Linked DNA regions of Mus musculus. The protein of the gene in region 1 purifies or fractionates together with the protein of each later gene. This does not show direct contact. Links are inferred from orthologs where the notes say so. Each region holds a gene or a part of one and is shown on either strand. Other genes may lie near its edges.

Region 1 (3,155 bases):
TTCTAGTGGCTCAACTAACCCCACTTGTAGCCTTGGTTGGAACTGGCCCTGCATGTCTGGCACGGAAGGTGTCAAAGCTCTTTCACAGCAGTTTGTCTCACATGGTCATTTTTCTCTTGTTCAGAGCAGTCAAGTAGGTGCTGTCACAGTGTCTTTGCTGTTGGGCAGCGCTGTGACACCGAGAACTCCTCCTTAGCCCTTGCCTGCTTAGAGCAGGGGACTGCTGACTGGGTGCAATGCCAGCCTTGAGGCACTGAGAGTTCATTCATCTTCTTTAGATAAGGGATTCTGCTGTTTGATGAAACATCCTACCAAAAGTGTGTATCTCTTGCATGAGCCATACCTTCTCCCTAGAAGGTCCCACAGGCCGTTACTATTTATGTCTGAGTGCTGTATTACCCTGTACTTCCTTCTCAGTTACATGGACACAGAGCAGTTTGAAGAAGCCGTGCGGGACTATGAAAAAGTGTATCAGACGGAGAAAACAAAAGGTACGAGGACAAAGGGGCAGAGACGTGTTGCTCGGGGGGGCTGTGGTCTTCTCGGTTGTTGGTCGCAGCACTTAGGACCATTCCATTTGCTCACTAGCCTGGAAGCCAGCAGTTCCTGGGAGGGGCTCAGGCACCTGTGTTCTGGCTCTGTCTCCTCCCTGTTAGTCTCACTTCCTATATATTCAGAAGAAAGCACCAAAAGAGTCCCTGTTGTGGTTACCAAAGTTTCTACCCCTTAGGCAGGCAGCTGGGCTGTCTGTTGATGCTGCCTTTCTCCCTCCAGAACACAAACAGCTCCTTAAGAATGCACAGCTGGAACTGAAGAAGAGCAAGAGGAAAGATTACTACAAGATCCTGGGAGTGGACAAGAATGCCTCTGAGGACGAGATCAAGAAAGCTTACCGGAAACGGGCCTTGATGCACCATCCAGGTGAGCGCTGGAGGAGGTGCAGCAGAGCCCACAGCGCAGATGCAGTGGGCACCCAGGAGATCGCTCTTCAGTGGGAAGGAGGGGGTGCTGGACTCCCTGTCCTACAGGCTGTGGGAGGTGCCACATTCCAAACTTGGACAATAATAGACTTTGTTTTCCTGTGTCCCTGGTTTCACTGAATCCTCTAGATCGGCACAGTGGGGCCAGTGCCGAAGTTCAGAAGGAGGAGGAGAAGAAGTTTAAGGAAGTGGGAGAGGCCTTTACCATCCTCTCTGATCCCAAGAAAAAGACTCGTTATGACAGTGGACAGGACTTGGATGAGGAGGGCATGAATATGGGCGGTGAGTTGGTTTGGGCATCTACAATGAAAATGGTCCCTGTACCAGAAAAGCCCCCATTGAAGTTACCAAGGCTTCTGCCCTCGGGGCAGCTGGGTTGGGACACCCCAGAGGGGAGGTCTACAAGTACTCAGCCAGCGACATAAGCCAATAAATAGGCTGTTAAAAAAAAATGAGCTAGGGCAGGAGCCATCAGAACTGTTGTGACCTGGACTAAAGCGTCAGGGTCTCCAGGACTGGTACAGTGGCTTTGGTAACACTGAATTTGAGCCTTCTCAGCACGGCCCCAGCATTATAGGAGGGCAGATGCAGATGGCGTTCCTAGCTAGGTAAGAAGCCCACTCGGAGGCAGGGGAAGCTTCCCTTCTAGACTTCACCCGGAAGGGCACAGATCCCAGAAGCAGGGTCAGCAGGTTCTGCCTGGCTGACATGGGGAGAGGCTTGCTAACATCTAGGCTGAAATGGAAGAGCAGAGTGAGCCTCAGAAGTCTTCTGCATCAGGTTCCTCAGATCTTTCTGATTTCCCCCTTTTTTGCCCTTTCCTTCCTAATTACCAGATTTTGATGCAAACAACATCTTCAAGGCATTCTTCGGTGGTCCTGGGGGCTTCAGCTTTGAAGGTAGGTTTGCCTGCTGCTCGCTCTTAGGAGCTCCCAGGTGACAGACCAGCACTGGCCCCTCACTCAGCAGCACCTGGGGAATCTGAGTGGAGACAGCTGGATCCTTGTTCAGCAGGACAGGTGTCTATGCTCGTGTGGCTGATGAGGCTCCTGGGTTTATTTTTCTTGGGACCATTCTCAGTGCAGTTAGCAAAGTCAGAGAAGCATCCCCAAGCCCCGTAGTGTCATGCCTTCTCCATAAGAGCAGGGGTGTTGAGAAGCTACACACAAAGTGCGCTTCAGCCCAGTGGTAGGGCGCTCACCCTGCATGCTGGCCCTTGTGCTCTAGGCTTAGACTGCCTGATACCCTTGGAGTCTCTGTTTGGATTAAGCTGCTCTTTAAGACTTTGGTATAACAACAGTGGTTTTCCTAAGAAAACCACAGAGCCAACTAACAAGCCTTTCTTTTTCCTTTCAGCATCTGGCCCAGGGAATTTCTACTTTCAGTTTGGCTAATGAAGGCCAACTACTTAAAACCCAGAAAATGCAGACTTGCTTGGTTTAACCATGAGTGTGGACAGTTCACTTCCTCCATCATGTCCCTGTGTACTTAGAGCAGTTTCGTTTTCTCAGTCGGGTGCCCTGTGTCTGTATGAGGGGTGAAGGAAAGGGGGCCAGTGCTGAGGACTAGGGAGGGAGGGAAGCCAGGGGTAGACAGGGAAGCAGGCAGCTTGTGAATTTTTGTTGTATTGTTTAACTTTATTAAAAAAGAAAAAGAATAAAATGTTTTGACCGTTCTTTGGTCCTTGGCTTTGGCAGCTGCTCTGTACCTGAGGTTCTTCCAAGAGCATAGGCACCAGGTGTTGTATGAGTGTGTGTGTGTGTGTGTGTGTGTGTGTGTGTGTGTGTGTGTGTGTGTTTTCTCACTATGTAGGCTCAGGCTAGAGCAGTCCTCCTGCCTCAGCCCTCTCCAGTGCTGGGATTAAGGTATAAGTCACCACACTGTCCGGCTCCTATAGCAGGGCACTGGAGCTTGAGGGATATGGACAAGAGGACAAAATTCTGCTCCTGCCTGCCAGTGGTGGTGCATGTTTTTAATCCCAGCACTTGGGAGGCAGAGGCAGGTGGATTTCTGAGTTCAAGGCTAGCCTGGTCTACAGAGTGAATTCTGGGACAGCCAGGGCTACACAGAGAAACCCTGTCTCGAAAAAAAACAAAAAAATTCTGCTCTTTCAAAGCATGGCAGGCAGCTCCTGGTCTCGGGCCTTTGCTGGCTTAAGGCTCAAACTGTTGGAAA
Region 2 (3,500 bases), on another chromosome or scaffold:
ACCTCCCAATCTCAGCTAAATGACTGACCTCTGCCTAGCACCCACAAGGGGACACATTCCCTGACAGCATTACCTGCAGAGGTGAGCGAAGAGTGACAACCTTATTGCCTTCTGTTGCGTCAATCTGCACCAACACGGAATCCGAATGGCTGGCACTGGGGTTCCGCACATTATACAATCGTCGGCCAGGCCTGGCGACAGGAACACTAGCTACTTCTGTATAACCATATGGTACTGAAGAGAAGAGAAGTAAAAATATTTACCTTTCAATAATAACCAACCCTGGACCTGGAGAGATGGCTCAACAGTTATGGGCACATGTTGCTCTTGCTGAGGACCTGGGTTTGAGTCCCAGCACCCATATGGCCCTCACAACCATCTGTAATACCAGTGATAGGGTTAATACAGTGATCCGAGGTCCTCTTTTGGCCTCGAAGGACCCTGGGCATGCATATGGTACACAGACATACATGTATACAAAATACCATAAAATAAATAACAAATAAAATAGTAACACCTCACAATTAATAGCAAGGATATGTTTTCTCATCATTAGAAATATAAATGTTTTCCTAAGACTCTGAGATTAAAAAAAAGAAAAATAATAACTAATATAAAACTTTTGCTACAAGCAATGAGAAGGTAAGTGTGCTAAGACAAATAGAAAAAAAAATCATCCTGAGAGAGGTAACCCAGGCCCAGAAAGACGAAACTGGTGTATACTCAAGTGTAAGTGGGTATAAGTCATAAAGCACTGGGTATCTATGCTATAAACCACAGACCCAAAGAAGCTCAGTAACAAGGAGGGCCTAGGGAGGAGATGCTTGAATCTCACTGAGAAGGCAAAATAGAAAAGACACTGGGTATGGATAAAGGGAGAGGACTGGCTGGGGGAGGGGTAGGAATGGGAACAGCAGGAATAAGGTAGGTGGAGAAGGAAGGGAGAGAGAGAGTACTGAGAGAGACCTCTGGACTAGGGAGGGGGCACATCTTCGGAACAAGCTAGAAACTTGGACAATGGAAACTCCTAGAAATCTTTGAGAGTAGCCCTAGCTAAGACTGCAAGCAATGAGGGATGCGCAGCCTGAACCGGCCATCTCCTGTAACCAGGCAAGACTTCCAATGGAGAGATTAGGACACTAACACAGGCACAAAACCTTAGACCCACGATCTGTCCTGACTACAAGATGTGCAGGGGTAAAAGATGGAGCAGAATTTGAGGGAAAACCAATGACTGGGCCAGCTTAAGACCCATACCATGGGAGAGAGCCAAGCCCTGACAATATTAACAACAGTCTGCTACACTTGCAGATAGGAGCCTAGCAACTGATGGAAACTGATGCACAGACCCACAGCCAAACATTAGGCAGAGCTTGGGGATCCCTAAGGAAGAGGGCAAGGAAGGATTGTGGAACTAGAGGGGTTAAGGACACCAGAAAAAAAAAAAACTACAGAATCAGCTAACATCTACAAAATAGGGGCTCACAGGAACTGCAATGCCAACCAGAGAGCATGCCTAGGATGGACCTATGCCCTCTGCACATACGCAACAGTAGTTGTGCGGCCTGGTCTTCATATGGGACTCCTAAAGCGGGAGCAGGGGCTGCATCTGACAACATGTTAGATAATCCCTTGTCCCTAGCATGGCTGTCCTAGCTCAGTACAAGATGGGTATAGTCTTACTGCAAGGTGATATGCCAAAGTTGGTTGCTATCCAGGGGAGGCCTCCCTTTTCTGAGGAGGAGAGGGGAAGGGCAGATGGCCGGGGAGCTGAGGTGAGAGGGAGGGACTAGGAGCAAAGGAAGGAGGGGAAGCTGCAACCAAGATGTAAAGTAAATAAATAATGAATAAAAATATTGAGCATACAAATTAAAACAAAGTAAAATAAAAATTCAACTTTTTAAATTATTCTTTCAACTAGATAATAATTTCCTTGTCTTTGTAATGGTATCATTACCATGAATACCTTAGACTTCTGAGTATGGCCACTTTTCTCCCTTAACTGAATGTTCATCCTTTTTGAAACATAATGCTTATTTCTTAGGGCATAGAAATTAATAATCATGTTTTATAAGGTGCTTATTAATTAGAGTCTATCTTATGTTTAGAAGAAATCCAGAGGAGAATTATCAACTATTTATTGGAAACCTGGACAAATGTCTCCCAGGATATCTTTGGCGAAATAGTATTGGCTGACTTATCAAAACTGCGCTGTGCCATCCCTGCGAAGCTCTGAAAACACAGCAAGCGCAGCAACCATACCAAAGGTCAGTGTGAAGAGCGAGCTCTCCTGCCGGCTCAGGATGGACAGCTTCCCTTGGCGCGAAGGTTCCAGGCTGGCGTAGTCCAGCTCCAAGTGCTGACCAGCGCCCACGTCATAAATGTCACTCTTCTCAGGGGAGCCCATGACCTTGAGGTTACGATTGGGCTGCACCTTCATGGGGACACCCAGCGCATTTTTGACTGTAAAAGGAGCCCTGTCTTTCAGAGAGTAGTCAAACGTAGAAGCCGCTCCCTCGGAGAAACCCTGCAAAGGAACACAGCCCAGTAAGACCTCAGCGATGCACCTCTATGAGCACTTTACCATGGCTACATGCTTTCTGAAATTTATTTTGATGACAAAAACAAAAAACAAAAAAAACACACAAAAAAAATCTATACATGCTTCTTTCCTAAACACAACATGAAATATTCCACACTAGAATACCACATACTTTTGCTAAATTGCTGAAAACATTAAGACAGCTTTTGGATATTGTGATATTCATCGTAGCTCCTGAAGAAATATGAACTGCTGTTTGTGGCTCAGGAATAAAGTCATCTCCTGGCATCAAACTTTTATCCTGGATCGGGTTTTTCTTTACCTAGGAAGACAAACAGCGTACAGAATTGATCAGCCAACGAATCAATGGCAGCAATTAAAAGCTCTACCTGGAGGGATCCAGCTGAACTGGATATCTTAGAATACAGATCCTCAGGGTTTCATTTTCAACCACATGCACACCTCTCTGACTCAGCAAAGAATGGTAGCCTTCTCTCTGCACATAGGTCATGAATAGGAAATGCTCAGTACACTGCCGAGGAAGCCTGACAAGTCAGCCCCACCATTTGACTCCTTGCCAGAGCAAGCGAGCTCCTACAACAGTTCTGTGTTAATTAGCAATGAAGGTGACTCCAACTCTCCACTGACCCTGGCTATAGTCATCTGGAAATAAAAGGACTCTTCCTACTACTTCTTGGTAAATAATATGGTAAGCTTTCGGATCAAACTTATTCCAGATAACATTCACATTTTCATTCCAATAGCATTTCGAAACCTTTGCTAAATATTCTTTTTCAGTCTCATTATTCCAGAGAGAGGTAGACAGATATCATCTCTACTTTAGTCAGAAGGAATTGGGTTACAAGGTTAGTGATGGCGCACGGCTTTAATCCCAGCACTTGGGAGGCAGAGGCAGGTGGATTTCTGAGTTCGAGGCCAGCCTGGTCTACAGAGTGAG
Region 3 (3,500 bases), about 22 Mb from region 1:
CCATTGTCTGGATGTGGACCCTAGGAACAAAAATAACACCATTTAAACTGGTATTTCTATTTTTATTGGAAATCGTTCACTTTTATTTTTAGTAACACTGAGGGGAACTAAATAGCTTTTATCTTATCCTTTGGGTCAAGGGTTGGATAGAGTGAACTGCACCCGTGTTCCAGGTTGAAGATGTAGCTCAGTCCTTACCTAGACAGGAAGTAATAGAAGCTCAGTGTGGTCCTGCATGTGTTCTCCTTCCCTTCGAGACGCTGACCTTTCCCCATTTCCGATTTCCTTGCCAGGTGCTTACATGTTGCAGAAGCTGATTGAAGAGACAGACAGATTTGTAGTATTCACAGAAGAGGAATCCGGTATGAGTGACCAATTGTGTGGCATTGCTGCCTGCCAGACAGATGACATATACAACCGAAACTGCCTTATTGAGCTGGTTAACTGCCAGGTATCTTTTTTTAATAGGAAACCAGTACGAAGATAGATCCCAAATAAAAATGTTTACTTCCCTATCATTTTTTTAAAAATACAAAAAAAAAATTAGGATTCTACAAGTTGGATGTGGCGGCTCACACCTTTAACCCAAGGAAGGCTCTTGGGAGGCAGAGCCAGGGGGAATCTTTGAGTTTGAAGACAATATAGTGAGACCCTGCCTCAAAAAGGGGGGCTGGGAGGGGGTCCCACTGTGTGGCTCAGGCTGGTCTCAAACTTGGCTGTCTTTGCCTTGGTTTCCTGAGTGCTGAGGGCTTGTTATTGCTAAACTCAATGTTTCTCCACGTATAACTGAAGAATGGGTGGCGAGAACTCAGCTTTGTACCTTTCTGTAGGTTTCCTGAGTAACACTTCCACGTATAAAACCCAATAAAGCTTGCTCTGTAAGCTAGAGTTAGCAGTGATCTGAATACCCTTCTCAGCCCCCTTTGTGTCTAAAACTGCATTTCTCTTGACATAGATGGTTCTTCGTGGAGCAGAGACAGAAGGCTGTGTCATTGTATCGGCTGCCAAAGCTCAGTTGCTGCAGTGCCAACACCATCCAGCTTGGTATGGTGACACACTGAAACAAAAGACTTCCTGGACTTGCCTGTTAGATGGCATGCAGTATTTTGCCACCACTGAAAGCAGCCCTACTGAACAGGATGGCCGACAGCTCTGGTTAGAGGTTAGTCAGCCTGGGTGGGGAGGTCCATTGTATATCTCTAGTTTTCTATAGTTGGCCCCTTCAACTAGAACCACTGGGAGATTCTTCATAGTACCTACCTTTCTGCTTAGTAGGAAAGGAAGCTGCTGATACCGTGACTGTGAGCAGCCTCTGTGCTGTAGGAACTAGTGCTTTTCTCTCCTGTGGCACTGTTACATTTACCAGCACTAGAGTAAGTAGACAGGAACTTTTTCCTTTTTTAGTTTGTAGTCCCTTAATAAACGTCACACAAACAGGCAACTAAGGAAATAGACAATGGATCTGAGAACTTTTTTTGTCAGTTTGAGACAAGTCTTGCTATGCAGTTTGGTCTCAGGCCCAGGTAGCCTGGAACTGGAGATCCCTTTGCCTTAGCATCTGTAGTGCAGGAAACGTGTCACATGGCTAGCCAAGGGTTTGTTTTTTTGTTTTTTGTTTTTTTTTCATAGCCTTTCATAAAGATGATTGTTTCAGCAATCATTGTTTTTTGTTTTTCAAGATAGGGTTTCTCTGTGTATCCCTGGCTGTCCTGGAACTTGCTATGTAGACTAGACTGACCTCAAACTCAGATATACACCTGCCTCTGTCTCCCAAGTCCTGGGGTTAAGGGCATGTGCTACCACCAACTGGCTAAGGTAGAACATTTTAATTTCTAAGATAGGCTCTTAGACTTACCGGAGGGTTGATGATCATGAGGCATATCAGGCTAGTGTTGTATATTATCATTTATATATTTGACATGTGGTAAGTGTGCACATAAATTAAAGGATTCAGTTATATCTGATAAAAAAACAATAAAAAACATGAATGATGATAATAAAATGAACCAGAGTGATAACCTCTTTTGTAGATCTTCTTGTCCCTGGCTAGAATGTCTGCAAAGGAACTTCTGGTTCAGTCAAGGCAACCTCAAGTGTAATGATGCCAGACACAGATGAACATTTAGATCAGATGTCAAGCCGAGTATGGCCAGGTTAGGTCACATAGGAAGTTAACCAACCATGTCTATTACTAGTATTCTTGGGGGTAGTCACAGAAAGTATCTTAGCTGGAGTTCTGGCTCAGTGGTAACACTTGATTATTATGCATAAGGCCCTGGGTTTGATCCCCATAACCACCAAAGAAATAGGGATGTAGGAGTGGTAATTATCTATGTAAAGGTGGGCAGAAGTTTCTGGGCATTTATAAGCAATGCCACCTTTTATAGTTGAAGGCTTTTTTCCCTCCCCTAAGTTGCATTAGCATTAAAGTGGAGAGATCCTTAGAGTTAGAATATGATTTTTCTCTTCCCCAGGTGACTTTGTGATTCAGTAGATCCGTCATCCAAATCCTGGATCTCTAAAATATTCGTGTGTGTCATTTATATATTTTTTTTGTAAGTTTTTTTTTTTTTAAATGTGTTTGTGAGTCTGCCATGTATGTATAAGTGCCCTCAAGAACCAGAAGAGGGTGTCAGGTCTAAAACTAATTACAGGTGATTGTGAGCTGCCATATAAGTGCTGGGAACTAAATCTGGGTCCTCTGCAAGAAGAGCAAGTGCTTCTAACTGCGAGTCATCTCCAGCCCCTAAAGCCTTATTTATGTTTATTTATTTTTAATATGTATGGGTACTTTGCCTGCGTGTATGTCTGTGTATCCAATGTATGCTTGGTGCCTGCAGAGGCTAGAAGAAAGTGTTAGATCTTATGAGACTTAGAATTACAAGAAGTTGTTAGATGTCCAGTTGATGCTGGGAATAGAACCTTCATCTTTTGGAAGAGCAGTCCGTGAGTGTTCGTAACCACTGAAACATGTCTCCAGTCCTGAAGCCTTGATCTTACTGCTTTGATTTTTCATGCCATTCATTCTGTTAGTTACCCTGATCTCCAAAGTGACAATATCAGAATGGTTTTCTTTTTAAGTAGGTGTATGTATAAGTGAGCATGTGATGTGTGTGCAATAAATATGTGCCTGTGCATTCCCAGAGGCCACAGGAACGGGCATTAAACGTCTATCATGTTGTGCCTTATTCCCTTGAGACAGGGTCTTTCATTGAAATTGGAGCTAGGCTGGGATTTAGCATGCTCCAAAATGTTTCTGTCTCTACCTTCCATAGAACTGGGATTACAGGAATGGGTGGCCTTCCCTGGATTTTTACATTGGTACTGAGGATTTAAACTCAGGCCCTATTATGTATGTATGAGAGAGATCTGTTGTTTTTAGAGGTTAAAAGATAATAGTTTTGTGGAGTCAATTCTCCCACTTTTTAATGTGTGACTGCCTAAATGTCTGTATATCATCTGCATGCCCTCTGACACCAGAAGGAGGGTGTCAGATCCCT
Region 4 (4,227 bases), on another chromosome or scaffold:
CTCTGCACCTGACTTGAGGTGGTAGCTTTACTCCTGGCCATGGCCGGAATCCACAGGAGGTGGGGCCCCTGGGAAGAAACTGTGGACTTCCAGGTCAGTCCAAGTTCAGCAATCGTTTATTGTGCTACAAGAGCTTCCAATCTCCTGTTCTTTCAGCCTCCCTTCCAAACGCAAGCCCACAACAGAGCTAGGTTCACTTGGCCTGGGTCCTGTAATTCTTGGCAGGTCCTTGTGGGAGGCCCAGTCAGGGTGAAGGTCAGGCAGCAGGTCTGGGCATACATCTGCCCCCCAAGTTTGCACAAGACGAAGAGTCTACAACTCTAAGACACTCACTAGTGAGGTCCACAAGGGTTCTGGGGTCAAGTTACTAACCACCAGAACCATGATGGGGCCCTGGATGACCTCTCAGGCCCCGCTCAGCCCCGCTCAGAAAGGCAGTGAACTCTTGCACCTGGGCTAGAAACAGCAAGTAGTGCTTGAGTGTGTACTGGAGGGTTAGCAAGCTAGGAACTGTAGCCACCGCCTCTTCGTATATGAAAGCTGCAACCCCAGAAACCTCTGCCTCCAGGACCACTGCAAAGAGTGACAAGGAGGTTCTGGGGATAGCTTTTTTTGAGCTCCTAGAGCCCCCACCCAACTTGGGCAAAGATGCTACCTACTCACTCGAGGCAGTGGCAGAAACCACGCAGCGAAGTTTGACTGCGGCGCCCAGATCAGCAGAAAGCCGAGTTCTGCTTCTCCAAGTCCGGGGTTGGGGGTGTTAGCGGCCAACAGCTGATGCAGCAGCGGCTAGAAATGCCTCAACGACAGACCATGGGGTCAAAGGGTCTTGGTGCAGGCGCTCTCCAAGGAAACCAGCCGGCTCCGCCCTTGAAGAAGCTCCTCCCCATGACCGCGAGAAGGGCAAGAGTCCAGCCGTGCACCCGCAGCTACTTCTATAGCAACCGCAGAAGGTCCTTCGGTGTCAGCGTGTCACGTGCTTGTTTCTCAGCCATTAATGGCCGCAGGCAGCTCCTCCCGATTCCCGAGGAAGCCCCTCGAGAGCGGTCTGATCTGCGGGCCTCTCTTCTACCCTCAATTCCGCCTTCCTACCGGCGGTCCAGACGTTCCCAGGCTGTCGCGTGAGCCCGTGTGTGCCCTGGTGGTGCGCTAGGACCCGGGCCTAGTGACCGGCCCTCGGAAGGCCACTTCTCAATGACCGCTGCCACGTTCGCCCAGCTTGGGGCCGGAGGGCGGGGCTTGAGCGCCGATGGGCGGAGCCTTGGTCTGAGCAGGGTAGGTCTCGGTTACTGTAGGGCGGGGCCTGTAGAGCGCGGCGGAAGCTTCTCAGAGCTAAGGGAACTGGCTCAATCCACGAGGCTCCGCCTTTGCTCACGTGTCCCCATGCCAGCTCCGCCCCACACCGGAAGTTCCGGTGGCGGATCGCCGACCGGGCGGAGCTGATCGCTGCGCGGGCTGCGAGATCTAGGTGGCCGGGCGCGGAGCCCAAGCCGTGCCGCGCGGCGCCATGAAGGGCAAGGAGGAAAAGGAGGGCGGCGCGCGGCTGGGCACTGGTGGCGGCGGCAGCCCTGATAAGAGCCCGAGTGCGCAAGAGCTCAAGGAGCAGGGAAACCGGCTCTTCGTGGGCCGCAAGTACCCGGAGGCGGCGGCCTGCTACGGCCGCGCCATCGTGAGTGCGGGAGGGGCGGGGGCGGGGCCCGATGTGCCTCCCAGTTTTGTGATCCCGGACAGGGTTTCTGGCAGCCTGGACTCGATGGCTCGCTCGCTCCCCTGGTGCCCGGATTGCTGTTCCCGAGTCTAGGGCTGATTTGACTGGGAACTGGCGGGCGGGATGCTTGATTAAGTAAGACTAAGGATGACACCAGGAGCTCTTGCCCCTTGAGATTTCCAAGCCCAGAGCTTGTAGAGGGGTTGTGGGATTTCTCTCAAAAGCAGTTGGAGGCAAGAAAGCATGGCCAGAATCCAGAGCTCTTGATAATTCGGAAATCTCCAGTTCCTCTATTCCAGCCATGGGCCCCCAAAGCTGGAGCATTGACCAGATCATTGGCTTTCAGCTTGCTAAATGAGAGGGGATCAACTGAGCCCACACTCTTTGACGCCTGGTCTTGGTCCCCAGACTCGGAACCCACTTGTGGCAGTGTACTACACTAACCGGGCCCTGTGCTATCTGAAGATGCAGCAGCCTGAACAGGCACTTGCTGACTGCCGGCGAGCCCTGGAGCTGGACGGGCAGTCTGTGAAGGCGCACTTCTTCCTGGGGCAGTGCCAGCTGGAGATGGAGAGTTATGATGAGGCCATTGCCAATCTGCAGCGAGGTGGGCTGACAAGATGCAAGGTTGAGGGCACCTTGGGGGACCAGGATTGTTGACAAGTGTAACCAAAAGTGTCCACTCCCCTAGCCTATAGTTTGGCCAAGGAGCAGCGACTCAACTTTGGGGATGATATTCCTAGTGCCCTTCGCATTGCTAAGAAGAAGCGCTGGAACAGTATCGAGGAACGGCGCATCCACCAGGAGAGTGAGCTGCATTCATATCTCACCAGGCTCATTGCTGCTGAGCGAGAGAGGTGGGTCCCTCCCCCAGCAGACACTGAGTCACCAGCACAAGTGTTTTTATTGAAGGACAACAACCGGTACATGGGAAGCCCAGGAGGAAAGAGGCCTGAGATGGGGCGGGCTCTGTGATTTCCTGGTCAGGGCCATCACCAACTAGCTTCTGGTTAACCCTCAGGGAACTGGAGGAGTGTCAGCGGAACCACGAGGGTCATGAAGATGATGGCCACATCCGGGCCCAGCAGGCCTGCATTGAGGCCAAGCACGTGAGGGTGCCCCTAGTCCACATGTGGGTCATTGTGTGTGTGTTTGTGTGTGGCATGAAAAGTGCCCCAGCCTTTGGTGGATCTGTTGGCCCATGCATGACATGAGTGCCCTGGTGGACAGAGTGTGTGTGTCTGTGTGGAGACAGGAGTTGCCCACACATGGCACTCAACTCTGCAGGATAAATACATGGCAGATATGGATGAGCTCTTCTCTCAGGTGGACGAGAAAAGAAAGGTGAGGACCCCCGGAAGCTCATCGGCTGCTGCTGGTATGGTGACCCCCACAGCCCCCTCCAGTTCTAGACATTTTCCCCTTGTGCTATAGAAGCGAGATATCCCTGACTACTTGTGTGGCAAGATTAGCTTTGAGCTGATGCGGGAACCCTGCATTACACCCAGTGGTATCACCTATGACCGCAAGGACATTGAGGAGCACCTGCAGGTAAGGAGGGCCCATGGAGACCGGGCCATGGAGAGCCTTGGTACCCGGATCGGTATACTCAGGCCATTGAACACTCTTGACTCTGTTGCAGCGTGTGGGCCACTTTGACCCTGTGACCCGGAGCCCTCTGACCCAGGAACAGCTCATCCCCAACTTGGCCATGAAGGAAGTCATTGACGCTTTCATCTCTGAGAACGGCTGGGTAGAGGACTATTGAGGCCCCATGTCCTGCCTGGCACCCTGGCCCAGGAGGATCTGGAGACGGAAGCTCCAGTCCCTGTATAGTTTGTGTCCCTGGGCCTGCCCCCATCGGCCCTGCTGATGGGTTCTGAACTGCTCCCCTTCTCAGCATACCCCTTGCTGGACCATGAGCCTCCCTTGTCCCCCTTCTGGGCTGGAGAGTGGGTGAGGGTGGGCTGAGGTTGCTGCTGCTGCCACTGTCCTGTAATAAAGTCTGTGAGCACTACATTGGCATGTGCTGGTGCAGTGGGCTTGCCAGTTGCCTGTCTGGCTAGCCAAGGAAGGTAGAAATGAAGACACTGGTGTCCAGATTGAGTGTGGCATGCCACCACCGATCAGGAAAATACAGTACCTGGGAGAAAAGAAAAAAAAAATTTTGATTCATGGCTTTTTGAGTTAGCCCAACCCCCACCTACCAGCTACTGACTTCACCAGCCTGGATGGTACATTCTAGAGGCCGTGCTGACAGGGCTAGAGATGGGTATATTTCCAGCAGCCAGGCCAATGTGGTCTTGTTAGGGTGGAACTCAGGTGTCTTCTCAGGAGGGTAGAGGAACCAGCGCTGGAGGCAGGAGTGTAAGGTCACTATGTGTGCAATGGACTATAGACACCAGATTTACACACACACATAACACACACATAACACTGTACTGACCTTCCGACCATAGATAACCTCTGAGAAACCAGGCCCATGCCAGTGGAAGGGTACCCCAGATCCAGCTCCTGTG
Region 5 (4,180 bases), on another chromosome or scaffold:
TTGTTTTTGTTTTTTTTCGAGACAGGGTTTCTCTGTATAGCCCTGGCTATCCTGGAACTCACTTTGTAGACCAGGCTGGCCTCGAACTCAGAAATCCGCCTGTCTCTGCCTCCCAAGTGCTGGGATTAAAGGCATGCACCACCACTGCCAGCTCACTATCTCTGTCTCTGTACCTTTAAAGACACTTTCTCTACAAGTGTTCCCTAGCTCCAAATCCATGGGGAGGCGGGGGGCAGGGCTCAACTGGTTCGGTTTTCATGGGGTCAGTACAGTTAGGAAAATCAAAACACATACACCACACACAGCTATACCATTAACGGAAGGCTAAAGTCATTTTTCTCAGGGGTGCCTAGGGCAAGGGTTATCTGACTCTCCTCCTACAGAGCTTCCAGAAAGGGAATGTCAACAGTTGTCCACTAAACAAGATGATTAATCATCTCTTTCAAGAACACCCTTTGTCCCTTGTCTTTAACAAATGCAGAATAATGTCAACTTCACCATATTCCACGACCATTCCCTTTGTACAGATGACCACACTGAGACCAGAAAAGCTACTCTACCAACCCAAGGTCACACAGCCAGAAAGTGCTAGGATGAGAGTCAGTCTTTCATGCACTTTCAGGCAGTCCCATTCCCTGCAAGAACCACCAATGACTATTCCAGCTTCTCTATGCCTTCCAATATCTGAAGCTCTCTCCTCTTCCTCACTCAGCTCCGTCCTTGACCGCCATCATCCCAGACTTACAAAACCAAAAGCAAAAAGCTATACTATATCAAAGTATTTGGAAATATTTACGAAGCACCCAGTGGATCTTTAAAAAAATCACGCAGCCCTGGTGGTAAACTCAGACGGCAAAGGAAGTGACAAGTATCAGAACGCCAAGAGGCGAGCTAAACCCAGTAGGAATTAGTAGGAAGTAAGATAAACCGGAGAGGCAGCCCGACTGCAGCAAGCCCAAGGCAGACCAGTCTCACCTCGCTTTACAGTAACGGCCTTACGGGAAAAACCAAGGGCTACGGGCAGAAGAGGGCGGGGTGCCTATTTTTATCCCTGGGTTAGAGCAGGAAAGCTTAGAGGTACTTGTCAGGTAGCTACCACAAGTCACGCAGCAGAACCTCCCAGCCGGCGATAACCTGGGGGAAAGGGTGCGGCCTTTCGGAGAGGCCCGTCTCTGTAGCCCCGCCCCTCTTCGCGCCTCCACCTGTCCGCAGAGAGAGAGAGGGTTGCGATTGGCTGGATCCGCTACGGAGGCGGAACCCCAGCAGCCGGCGCGCGCGCCCGAGGAAGGCGTTGACCAGAGTAGAGAGGGAAGGGGCGTGGCCCCGCGCGGAAAGCCGTTGGCAGCCGGGTCCCACCCCGGATGTGCTGCGTCACGGAGCGGGCCGCAGCGATTGGCCGGTGTCGTGCGGCGCATCGGGAGGGGCGGAAGGTTCTGGAGGGCTGGCGGGATCTGGAAGCTTCCGCCGGACGGGTATATAGAGTCCGGGACGGGGCAGCAGCGGAGCCGGAGGCGGCGACAGCTGGGCGGCGGTGGCCATGGGCAAGGACTACTATCAGACGCTGGGCCTGGCCCGCGGCGCGTCCGACGACGAGATCAAGCGAGCCTACCGCCGCCAGGCGCTGCGCTACCACCCGGACAAGAACAAGGAGCCCGGCGCTGAGGAGAAGTTCAAGGAGATCGCCGAGGCCTACGACGTGCTCAGCGACCCGCGCAAGCGCGAGATTTTCGACCGCTATGGAGAGGAAGGTACGTGTGCGCGCGGCCGGGGTGACCCGCCGTTTGACAGGCGGGGAAACCGAGGCACTCGGAGCCTCTCCAAGACCTCGGCCGGGGACAGGCATTCCGGGGATCTAGCGGCGGCGCCGCCTCCTTCACCCTCTGATCCGCGGCCTCAGACAGGAGGAGGAGCTCTGGGCGCGCCGCTGGCACAGAAGCTTCTAGCACGTCTGCCGCAGCCCCTCCCGGTCGGTCGCCTGCACAGCGCCGGAATGGTGCAGATGGAGGGCGGCGGTCGCGATGGGAATGAAAATTGCCCGAGTATTGATTCTCTTTCCTAGCCGCAAGCTCAGTGTTCGCTCACCCAGGGTTGAGCCTTTTTGGTAACAGTGCGTAGGAGCTTCTCTGTAAGATGGTAACAGCATAGCTGGGAGGATGGAGCAGTCACGTAAACCTGGTCGCACCGAGATCTAGAGGCCTTACTACCGAATATGTTGTCAGGAAGTAAAACGGAGTAGTGTGTTTCTTGCTCCTATTGCCATTGGGAGTTAAAAGACTTGAGATTCGTCCTTGACTAACAAGCTTTTTAATATATACATAAAATCCCTCCCGCTATAGTTCCTGTGGCCTTTTTACTAAGAGCAAAACTTGTTGAGCAGAGTGCGGGGGCTCACACCTCCACATGGGAAACCGAATTAGGAACGCTGTGAATTTGCTTCAAATCAGAGCTACAGGGTAATAAGCTCCTGTTTCCAAAGGAACCGGATGTTGTGACAATCCCCCCTCTGGGGTATTTGAGTCAGGAGGATTGCCTTGAGGCTACTCTGGACGAAAGTTTGTGTGTTACGTGGCATTGACAGTAATACATGCAAAAGGAACAAAATGTGACCATTTATTTGAGACAGGACCTCACTGTTGCTGGAACTTTGTTTTTCAATTTATTTGAGCGTGTGCCTCCGTGTATATGTGTATACCATTCACATGCTTCTAGAGAAGAGGGCATTAAAGGTCCCGGAACTAGAGTTAGACCATGGTCTGCTGCTATGTAGGTGTTGGAAATTGAACTTGGTTCTTCTGCCAGATGAGCCAGTGCTCTGAGCCATTTCTCCAGCACCTCATGGTGGAGCTCTGGCTTGTCTGGAACTTGCAGAGATCAGTCTGCACTTGTCTTGAGAGTGCTGGGGTTCTGAGCTCTTTGTTTCAGGGGTTTTATGTTTTATAAGTGTGTTGAAGTGTTGGGGGTGGAGGGAGGTGGGGCTGACTCTCCAGCAGTAACCCTGACTTGTGGTTTTGGTTTCCAGGCCTGAAGGGTGGTAGCCCCAGTGGAGGAAGCAGTGGTGGTGCTAATGGTACCTCTTTCAGCTACACATTCCACGGAGACCCCCATGCCATGTTTGCTGAGTTCTTCGGTGGCAGAAACCCCTTTGATACCTTTTTTGGGCAGCGCAACGGGGAAGAAGGCATGGACATTGATGACACATTCTCTAGCTTTCCAATGGGTATGGGTGGCTTCACCAACATGAACTTTGGACGTTCCCGCCCTTCTCAAGAGCCCACCCGGAAGAAGCAAGATCCTCCAGTCACCCATGACCTTCGGGTCTCCCTTGAAGAGATCTACAGCGGCTGTACCAAGAAGATGAAAATCTCCCACAAGCGGCTGAACCCTGATGGAAAGAGCATTCGAAATGAAGATAAGATCCTGACCATCGAAGTGAAGAGGGGCTGGAAAGAAGGGACCAAAATCACCTTTCCCAAGGAAGGGGACCAGACCTCGAACAACATTCCAGCAGACATCGTCTTTGTTTTAAAGGACAAGCCACACAATATCTTCAAGAGAGATGGTTCTGATGTCATCTATCCAGCCAGGATTAGCCTTCGGGAGGTAAGGTGCTAGGTGGGTGGAGGAGTCATAAAAAGAGATGGCTGCTGTGAGAATAATGGGTTGTGGGGTTGGGGGGGCTTTGGAGTGGGGTGTCAGCGGGCCTGGTCTGGTAGACCTGACCCTTCTCCGGACGGTCTGGAGGAGTGAAGCTCCTAAGCCAGCCACTGCCTGACACTGTCCTTTTGCTTCCCTAGGCTCTCTGTGGTTGCACTGTGAATGTCCCTACTCTGGACGGCAGGACCATCCCTGTTGTATTCAAAGATGTCATCAGGCCTGGTATGCGGCGGAAAGTCCCTGGAGAAGGCCTCCCTCTCCCCAAAACACCTGAGAAACGTGGAGACCTTGTTATCGAGTTTGAAGTGATCTTCCCGGAAAGGATTCCCGTCTCATCCAGAACCATCCTGGAGCAGGTTCTTCCCATATAGCCACCTGCACTCCTCAAGGACTGAGCCAGGGGCTTTCAGAGCTGCAGATCTCCAGACCGTTCCACTGGTTGCATACTGCGGGAGGGCCCAGGGAGGGCTTTTGCTCTGCCGAATGTTTTCCACAGAATATATTACAATCTTTCAAAGTCGCGCAC
Region 6 (3,500 bases), on another chromosome or scaffold:
TGTGCAGGGCTGATAGGTACATGCTGTGTGCAGGGATGATAGGTACATGCCGTGTGCAATACAGATAGGTACATGCTGTGTGCAGGGCTGATAGGTACATGCCGTGTGCAGGGCTGATAGGTACATGCTGTGTGCAGGGATGATAGGTACATGCTGTGTGCAGGGATGATAGGTACATGCCGTGTGCAGTACAGATAGGTACATGCCGTGTGCAGGGCTGATAGGGACATGCTGACCTCTCTTTTTCTGCTCAGCTCATCTTTTTTAATATAAGGAGTGTTATTTCTCTTTTTGCCATGATCATCATAATAGATAATTAGTGTATAAAATGAAGAGTTTGGAGAAAAAAAAACACATAAAGAAACATGACAAGTGCTTGTAGTAGTCCCAGTGGGAATATTTCCCAATAATCATCAAGTGTAGCTAGCTCTGTCCAGACGTGTTGAGTTCTTCCTTGTTATGAGAGTCTGTCCTAAAACAGAAATAAGAAAGGAACCAGAGACACTAACAAGCTTTGCCCTTTCTCTAGAGCTCTGGAGAGGATGGTCACTTTCAGGATGTTCATCACCCAGTTGAGCCTGGCAGTGTCTGACGACCTCACACACCAGGCACCATCGGAACTGCTAAGGCTCACCCTGGACAATGTTTTCCTCCACGTGTCTCCTGTGCCTGCTCTCCTCCCAGGGGAAGAGCCTCCCTCCAGCTTCTTCCAGCTTTACGGTGTGGAAGTCTACTGCGGAGACCTGCAGCTGGACAACCAGCTTTATAACAAGTCTAATTTCCATTTTGCTGTCTTGGTCTGCCAAGGAGAGAGAACAGACCCTGCTCAGTATTCCAGGGTGCAGAGTCTCCTGGTCTCCAGCAAAGCCTTGGAAGAATACAAGGAGAATTGCTTCATCAAACTTTGCCTCACTGTCTCTGAGGGGAAGGACATCCTCCTCGATGTCAGCGAGTTCACCTTTGAACTGAAGCCAGCACGGCTGTATGTGGAGGACACCTTTGTTTACTACATCAAAACTTTGTTTGACACCTACCTTCCTCCCAGCAGGATGTCTGGTCACCATGCACAGCTGTTCACAGGGCAGCAGGTGCTGCCTGTGCAGGTGACACAGCACGCCAAGGCATTGGTGAACGCAGTGAAGTTACGGAAGCTGCTCATCCAGCCAGTGAACCTGCTCATCAGCATCCATGCCTCCCTGAAGCTGTACATAGCCTCCGACCACACCCCTCTCTCCTTCTCTGTGTTTGAAAGAGGACCAGTGTTCACCACAGCAAGGCAGCTGGTGCACGCACTGGCCATGCACTATGCTGCTGGGGCTCTTTTCAGAGCAGGTGAGGATGCAAGGGAAGGGTCTGTGGCGGGCTAGCACCTGGACAGAAGTGGTCCATTGTGGCAGGGGGCTGTCTGTTACACAACACACGGGAAAGCAGGTAGGCCTGGGTGATAGGGCCACAGCTAACAGAACTGGATCTAGATCTGAATGTTCAGTGTAAACCTTGGGTGAATATCGAACTCTTGAGCCTGCATCTTCAGCTGTAAAGTGGATTTTAAAGGCTATGGGATGGTTTACACTAGGGACCAAGGAGAGAAATAAGACTTCTGTTTCCCATCTGGCTGGAAGAGCCTACAAGGAGTGTTTGATGTGAGTACAGAATCTTCCGTGAGGAGCATTCTGTGCAAACATGAAAATCGGGCTCCCTGTGGTACTTGACAGTCATCCTCTGTAGGGCATGTGTTCCTGACTCAGGGTCAGTCTTAGATAGAGGGTGCTAGCCTGCTCCCAAGGTGCTAACAGTTATCAGAGCAGCATCCACACTTGGCTTTGTTCAGGATGAGTTCCTGCACGAGATAACCTTGTTCTTGGTGAATGAATTCCCATAGCCTATTCAGGCTGTGGCAACAAATGACTGTATTACCATTAGTAAGAGGCCAGTAGTCATGCTACATGGGTAAGATTAAACCGTCTCCATAATGAAATACATAGAGATCAGGAACAGGTTGGCTGCACCATAGAAAAAAAAGGACAGCCTCCAGCTGAGAGCCTTAAATGACCTGTTGTTTGGATAGTTTGCACAATAATGAAGAAATTAAATGACTCCTTAGCAAGGAGCCATTTAAAAATAATGAGGAATATTTCAAACTGAATAGACATGTATATCTCTGTAAAGTACCCCAGACACTTACCCTTCTGGTACACTGACATATATCAGCTCTTTAGTCAGAGGTCAAAAGAGGAGGAGGACTCCCTGCGGTCACAGCTGACACCAAGCTAGGAAGCTGGCCTAAAGGACAGATTCCACCTGTGCCCGGGTAACCATGGCCTCCATAGGCTTTGTGCGAAACCTACTGCCTTGTTTTACTGGGACTGAGGGATCTCATGTGAACATTCTCTCTGGCCTTCTTATAGTTAGAAATCCTGTGATTGTCTCATTTTCAATATACAGCAGGAAAGAAATTTTAACACCAAAGCTGAAATTGAAATTGAAAACATTGTCACTAAAACTGAATATTACTTGAAAGAAAAGTCATTGGAGCATTGAGAAATAGAAAGGCCACGGGGAGGGTGGCTGGCAGGCCCAAAGAGAATGGACTAGCATTCCTGTAGAGAACGGATGAGGGCTAGCCAGGAGGGAGTGGGTTGTGTCCATCTCACTTAGGGCTGCATTTACCCACTGGACTCAAGGTTCCTGGCTGGGATGCTTAAAACACCATGACCTCATTTCTGGGGAAGTCTGTGGAGTCATTTGAAGAGGCTTTAAAAACCCATAACTGCTAACTAGAAATGAGTAGCTCCATTCAAAGGGAGGAATGTGGGCTTGAGAATTTCTCAAGGTTCTTGCCTACCTCCAGCTCCCACTCTCATAGACTCAGATCACCCACAAGATTTCCAAACAACTAAGCCAAAAATATGCAGATGAACCTCTGCATCCTTGGGTTCACATCTGCAGATCCAACTACTTGTAGCCTGAAAATACTGAAGAATTATGTGTGTTCTTGCCATTTATCCCTTAAATATGCAGAATAAATAGGCCAGCAAGATGGCCGCTGTCCAGTTGAGTGGGTAAGAGTGGAAGGAAAGGACTTACAAGTTGTCCCCTAGCCGCCACAGGTGTATACCTTTGCACACCCACAGCCACATAAATTAGGAGTAGTAGTAAACATTTTAAAGTCAGCAGCACGTTGGGCACAGCTTGTGCACTATACAGCAGTACACACTCAGGCAATGTCAGTGTAGTGCAGGTGGCCAAAGCTCGACGGCGAGTCTGGAACCCATGCCTGCTGGGTGCTGAGGCCACTTCACTCACCTCTGAGAAAAGAGTAAAGAGCATCCTTGTATACTCTCTGTCTTTTTGTCTAGCCTGGATGCCACCAAGTGGAATCTCCATCCACAAACAGCCCTCTGGTGGCTTCAGGCTTTACTGATCACAGATTTACTGATCAGCGGTACACCTTCCATATGGTTAGGAAGAATAGGAAAGGACTCTCAGCAGCCAGATGG
Region 7 (4,155 bases), about 30 Mb from region 1:
CCATACCGCGTCTCTGTGCTCCTTTTTCCGACCTGGACCTCAAAGCCAGGGTCAAAAAGCTGAACAAATGAGATGGCGCCGGTCTCCGGGCGCATGTACAGCAGGAAGGAGTCCTTCACCACCAGCCACCTGGAGCGGAAGGGCCGTGTGGTATCATCCAGGTCCTCCAGGTCTCCCTCTTCCTGCCCACTGATGCCTTAGCTCCAGCCCTTGCTCACCTCTTGGACCATCGATAACAAACTTGGTCTCGGCCACAGAAGGTGAAGCCGGGAACTCGATGCCCGCCCGAGCGCTTCCGGATCACCCCTTCCCTACAGGGACAAGCAAGATCATTGGGGACCCTAGGCACACTGTACCGAGTTTTATTTTCAAGCAGGAAGATGGAGACTTATGCCTGCTGAAGGCTGGGTAAGGAGTTCCCACACTCACAGTCCTTTGGAGCCAAGGTCTGGGATAAAGGAAAGTTGACTGACTTCCAGAAATTCTGTCTGCAGAGGAAGAAATAAGTTTAGGGGGAGACTTGGCTTTCAGCCTCCCCTGCCCTACTAACTCTGCACCCTTTGTCCCCTGGGGATCTGATGATCCTCATCTACTTCAAAAAACACAAGCATCCTAGGGTATGTTGGCACACACCTAATACCAGCACTTGGGAGCAGAGGCAGGTGTATCTAGGTCAGTTCAAGGCTAGCCTGGTCTACACAGAAAGTTTAAGGCTAGCCCAGGTTTTACAGTAAGACCCTGTTTTGTTTTGTTGTTAAGAATAAAAACAGGTGGGCTAGAGAGATGGCTCAGCAGTTAAGAGCACTGACTGCTCTTCCAGAGATCCTGAGTTCAAATCCCAGCAACCACATGGTGGCTCACAACCATCCCTAATGAGATCTGAAGCCCTCTTCTGGAGTGTCTGAAGACAGCTACAGTGTACTTACATATAATAAATAAATCTTTAATTAAAAAATAAAAACAGGAGGGAGAGAGAAGGATCCACCCAGGCATCCAGGACCTTACCATGGCGTGGTAATTGCGATAGAAAGACATGGTCAGGAGGCGGTTGAGGTAATTTTCCAAGTATTTCTGAAGGGAGACGGAAAAGAAACAGATGTAGCCAGAACCTTTTGCATACTGCACACCTTGCTACAGGACCTGCTGCATACCTGTTTGCTGGCTGTGTGTCTGGCAGAGCCCTCAGAACCTCCTCGGGGTAGGGAGGGTATATCCTCGGCGGCTGCCTCTCGGGCTGGAGAATGGGTCACAGCAAAGCTACAGAGATGAGAGAAGACTCAAGAAGGAGCTGGAGACGGGGCCTTGGAGGAAGAAAGGCTAGCAGAAGAAAGAAAGAAAGAAGAAAGGCAGAAGAAAGAAAGGGTCTCTGTCCTGGGAATGGAGACAACTGGGAGGAGGGGGTTGCTAAGGACAATTCTGGGCATCCAGCCTGGCTAAAATATTGGCACAGTACTATGGAGGAGATCCAAGCAGGGAAAGTTTCCTGGGAACCAGGGACAAGGGAGGGGGCACGGCACAGAGCTGAGGAAGGAAAATGCCCAGGGGATAAGAGTCAGACAGACAGGAGTGAGTGAGGCTGCCATGGGGTGAGAAGTACCTGCCTTTCACGGGAAGCAACCGAGTTCTACTCACCGAGCCAAAGGGAGCAGACTCATCAAGACTTTGTGTCTCTGGAGGTCCCGATGCAGCTCCTGAAAGTGTCGGAACTTCTTCTTGGTTGTCCAGGTAAAGTCACCATGCGTCAAGCGAACAGAATATAGAGTACAGGTTCCCACCTGGGGATATGAAAATCTAAAATATGTCTTCTGGCCCAACCCAGGCCTCCACTTGGGCCAGGACTCCCTCTCTCGCCTTCCCTGGTATCCGCTGGTGACTGACCTTGGATCCGCTGGTGTATCTTTCGGTGCCCACCACCTGGGCTATAACAGGGACCCCAGGGGCGAACACCAAGGGGTGTGCTTTCAGAGGCTGAAGGTCATAGATGGCCAGATAGGGATGCATTCGATCAGCTGGGAGGGGAAAAAAGCAAAACAAAAACAAAACAACCCAAGGGTGTAAAGATCTCAGGAGGCCTCAGATCCCTATCTCCCCTCTCTGGGAGCCATCTCCCTCTATACCTGGATCCTCTCCTTCCCTCAGAGTGTCAACCTCATCTGGCTCCATGTGCAACTGGCTGGAGTTCAGATAGTCCCCATAGGGAAAGAGGTTCTTCTGGGTTACAGTCATCCTAGGAATATGAGGAAGCCTCAGGAAGGGACTCGCCCTACAGAAACACCCCTTCCCCATCCAACGCCCCCGGTCGGTCCTCTCCCGTCTTACTCAGTGACTCTCAACGTCTAGGGTTGTAGACCGACGCCCCTCTAACACCCACCCCTGCAACCTCCATTCCCTCCCCCAGCCTTCAACCAGAGCCTCTCAGCCCCGCTTCTCATTCCAAATTCAGGTCCAAAAAAGCACCTAGCTAAGGTGGGATGGCCTCGAACTGGGGCGAGGTTAAGTCCAAGGGAGGAGCCCTGGTGACAGCGAGGCTCGAAGTCAGGTCAGACTGGCTGGAAGCAAGGGTCCGGGCGGGAATGAGGAAGTTGCGCGCTCCCCGCCCAGGAGAGAGATCCCGAAATCTGGACGAGCGGCTGAGTCAGAAGGCCGTTGCAGCTCCAGCCCGACAGCGTCCCCGCCCGGTTCCCGGGGCTCCGGACCTCAGCCGCGCCACGTCCCGGGCCCCCGCACCCTGGATGCGGACCCCGGCGCCCGTGCGGGTTCGCAAGCAGGCAGAACTCAGCCAGGAGCCTACACCCCAGAGGGCCGGGGCGGGGCCGGGGTTCAGAGCCTGCCCTCGGGGGGCGGGAAGGCCCCCAGGGCTCACCTCCACGACTGTCGCGTCGACTGGGTCCCGCCCCCGCCGTCCTCTGCCCGCCCTGCGTTAGAGACGCCCGGGCCCGGGCCGCCCACTCCGGAGGCCGCCCACTCCCCAGGGCTGTCTTCTTCCTCCAGCTGCCCTCGGGGCACCTGCTGGCTATGTCCAGCACCCCCCAGTGTGCGATCCACGTAGTGCACATTCCTCTACTGCGCGCGCGCGCGCGCGCGGCCATTGGGTAGTCTGGTCCCCAGCACTGCCTGGAATCCGGGCAGAACGGCCTGGGTTGCGAGGACCTGCAGATGTCCCCTTGGTGGGCCCGGTACAGATAGCCTTTGTTGATGGAAGGTAATAAGAGCATAAAAAGCCGAGTGACTGCCAAGTTCGTTGCTGTATGAGAAATCGCATTCTTCATTCTTGAAACGCTCTTTTAACGCAGGAGTGATTAGCCCGACACTGAGCGACAATAACAGACCAATTTCGGAACCTGGAACCTAATCGCCTGTAAATTTCAGTCTGGAAAAAACTTTTTTTCCCCAGATCCTAAAGGCTGTCCTTTTTTTCCCTTCCAAATTTCCGCTGAATCATCATTTGAATTGTTTTAGGTTTTGTTCACTGGAAATGAACCTCCAATAAACATTTATGTGCCAGTCATTTTTGTGGACTTATTATTTTAATTCCTCTTCTGTAAACAACTAGAGTGGAACTACTGGGTCATATAAGTGTATGTTTAACTTACTGTTTGCTGTCGAGGTCTGGGCTTGGCAGTTTGTAGCTCAGCAGCACAGAGAATTGGAGAGAGTATTGTGAAGCTTGGGCATTGAGACCAGCTGAGGCTACACAGCAAAACACTGCTGAAAAAACAAACCCCGGGGCTGGAGAGATGGCTCTGTGCATGAGCTGAGGACCTGAGTCTGATTCCTAGCACCCACATGGCTGCTCACCAAGCAGTCCCCAGGGGATCTGATGTTCTCTTCTTGCCTCTGTGGCCACTGCACACACAAAACATTTATACACACAAAGCCAAAATAGAGAAAACAATTAAATACAAAAACTTTCCAAAATGGCTCTTCTATTTTATATTTCTAAAAACCAGTGTATGGTACTTCTGTTGTAGCTGCTCCATAGCACGGTGCACATTCAATTCCATAGATCCTTCCTGTTATCCATTAGAGTGGTCTGAAAGGTTTACCACTGCAGTCTTAATTGTACATCTCTGAATATTAACAGCGTTAACTGTATTTCCTATTGTCTTAGTTAGGGTTTTACTGCTGTGAACAGACACCATGAAAGGCAACCCT

The links.
Region 2: the proteins of Dnajc7 (region 1) and Vps13c purify together in Homo sapiens (co-immunoprecipitation; 4 studies listed by BioGRID and IntAct, counting the BioPlex papers as one, with this or other methods). This does not show direct contact. The link is inferred for Mus musculus from reciprocal best matches to the Homo sapiens genes DNAJC7 and VPS13C.
Region 3: the proteins of Dnajc7 (region 1) and 2610507B11Rik purify together in Homo sapiens (co-immunoprecipitation; 3 studies listed by BioGRID and IntAct, counting the BioPlex papers as one, with this or other methods). This does not show direct contact. The link is inferred for Mus musculus from reciprocal best matches to the Homo sapiens genes DNAJC7 and BLTP2.
Region 4: the proteins of Dnajc7 (region 1) and Stub1 purify together in Homo sapiens (affinity purification with mass spectrometry; 3 studies listed by BioGRID and IntAct, with this or other methods). This does not show direct contact. The link is inferred for Mus musculus from reciprocal best matches to the Homo sapiens genes DNAJC7 and STUB1.
Region 5: the proteins of Dnajc7 (region 1) and Dnajb1 purify together in Homo sapiens (affinity purification with mass spectrometry; 3 studies listed by BioGRID and IntAct, with this or other methods). This does not show direct contact. The link is inferred for Mus musculus from reciprocal best matches to the Homo sapiens genes DNAJC7 and DNAJB1.
Region 6: the proteins of Dnajc7 (region 1) and Vps13b purify together in Homo sapiens (co-immunoprecipitation; 3 studies listed by BioGRID and IntAct, counting the BioPlex papers as one, with this or other methods). This does not show direct contact. The link is inferred for Mus musculus from reciprocal best matches to the Homo sapiens genes DNAJC7 and VPS13B.
Region 7: the proteins of Dnajc7 (region 1) and Pld2 purify together in Homo sapiens (affinity purification with mass spectrometry; 3 studies listed by BioGRID and IntAct, counting the BioPlex papers as one, with this or other methods). This does not show direct contact. The link is inferred for Mus musculus from reciprocal best matches to the Homo sapiens genes DNAJC7 and PLD2.

Annotation. Positions count from the first base shown.
Region 1 is NC_000077.6:100,582,318-100,585,472, reverse strand, and holds the end of Dnajc7 (dnaJ homolog subfamily C member 7), read left to right. Parts: intron 1-417; coding exon 418-491; intron 492-774; coding exon 775-921; intron 922-1,109; coding exon 1,110-1,262; intron 1,263-1,816; coding exon 1,817-1,879; intron 1,880-2,336; coding exon 2,337-2,374; 3' UTR 2,375-2,655; downstream 2,656-3,155. UniProt on the Homo sapiens protein: Acts as a co-chaperone regulating the molecular chaperones HSP70 and HSP90 in folding of steroid receptors, such as the glucocorticoid receptor and the progesterone receptor.
Region 2 is NC_000075.6:67,944,851-67,948,350, reverse strand, and holds part of Vps13c (vacuolar protein sorting-associated protein 13C), read right to left. Parts: intron 2,865-3,500; coding exon 2,715-2,864; intron 2,528-2,714; coding exon 2,263-2,527; intron 235-2,262; coding exon 74-234; intron 1-73. UniProt on the Homo sapiens protein: Mediates the transfer of lipids between membranes at organelle contact sites. Necessary for proper mitochondrial function and maintenance of mitochondrial transmembrane potential.
Region 3 is NC_000077.6:78,278,754-78,282,253, forward strand, and holds part of 2610507B11Rik (protein KIAA0100 precursor), read left to right. Parts: intron 1-293; coding exon 294-451; intron 452-955; coding exon 956-1,162; intron 1,163-3,500. UniProt on the Homo sapiens protein: Tube-forming lipid transport protein which binds to phosphatidylinositols and affects phosphatidylinositol-4,5-bisphosphate (PtdIns-4,5-P2) distribution.
Region 4 is NC_000083.6:25,830,134-25,834,360, reverse strand, and holds Stub1 (STIP1 homology and U box-containing protein 1), read left to right. Parts: upstream 1-1,441; 5' UTR 1,442-1,507; coding exon 1,508-1,669; intron 1,670-2,116; coding exon 2,117-2,315; intron 2,316-2,399; coding exon 2,400-2,565; exon of another isoform or gene 2,566-2,729; coding exon 2,730-2,817; exon of another isoform or gene 2,818-2,995; coding exon 2,996-3,052; exon of another isoform or gene 3,053-3,142; coding exon 3,143-3,259; exon of another isoform or gene 3,260-3,350; coding exon 3,351-3,476; 3' UTR 3,477-3,727; downstream 3,728-4,227. Other genes in the region: Jmjd8 (jmjC domain-containing protein 8 precursor), read right to left, coding at 3,771-3,851, 3,927-4,061, 4,155-4,222. UniProt on the Homo sapiens protein: E3 ubiquitin-protein ligase which targets misfolded chaperone substrates towards proteasomal degradation.
Region 5 is NC_000074.6:83,606,795-83,610,974, forward strand, and holds the start of Dnajb1 (dnaJ homolog subfamily B member 1), read left to right. Parts: upstream 1-1,380; 5' UTR 1,381-1,537; coding exon 1,538-1,748; intron 1,749-1,753; exon of another isoform or gene 1,754-1,966; intron 1,967-3,019; coding exon 3,020-3,600; intron 3,601-3,794; coding exon 3,795-4,025; 3' UTR 4,026-4,180. UniProt on the Homo sapiens protein: Interacts with HSP70 and can stimulate its ATPase activity. Stimulates the association between HSC70 and HIP. Negatively regulates heat shock-induced HSF1 transcriptional activity during the attenuation and recovery phase period of the heat shock response.
Region 6 is NC_000081.6:35,909,618-35,913,117, forward strand, and holds part of Vps13b (vacuolar protein sorting-associated protein 13B), read left to right. Parts: intron 1-529; coding exon 530-1,332; intron 1,333-3,500. UniProt on the Homo sapiens protein: Mediates the transfer of lipids between membranes at organelle contact sites. Binds phosphatidylinositol 3-phosphate. Functions as a tethering factor in the slow endocytic recycling pathway, to assist traffic between early and recycling endosomes.
Region 7 is NC_000077.6:70,538,917-70,543,071, reverse strand, and holds the start of Pld2 (phospholipase D2), read right to left. Parts: upstream 2,801-4,155; 5' UTR 2,458-2,800; intron 2,228-2,457; 5' UTR 2,227-2,227; coding exon 2,118-2,226; intron 2,010-2,117; coding exon 1,879-2,009; intron 1,776-1,878; coding exon 1,633-1,775; intron 1,258-1,632; coding exon 1,152-1,257; intron 1,072-1,151; coding exon 1,006-1,071; intron 489-1,005; coding exon 430-488; intron 312-429; coding exon 219-311; intron 130-218; coding exon 1-129.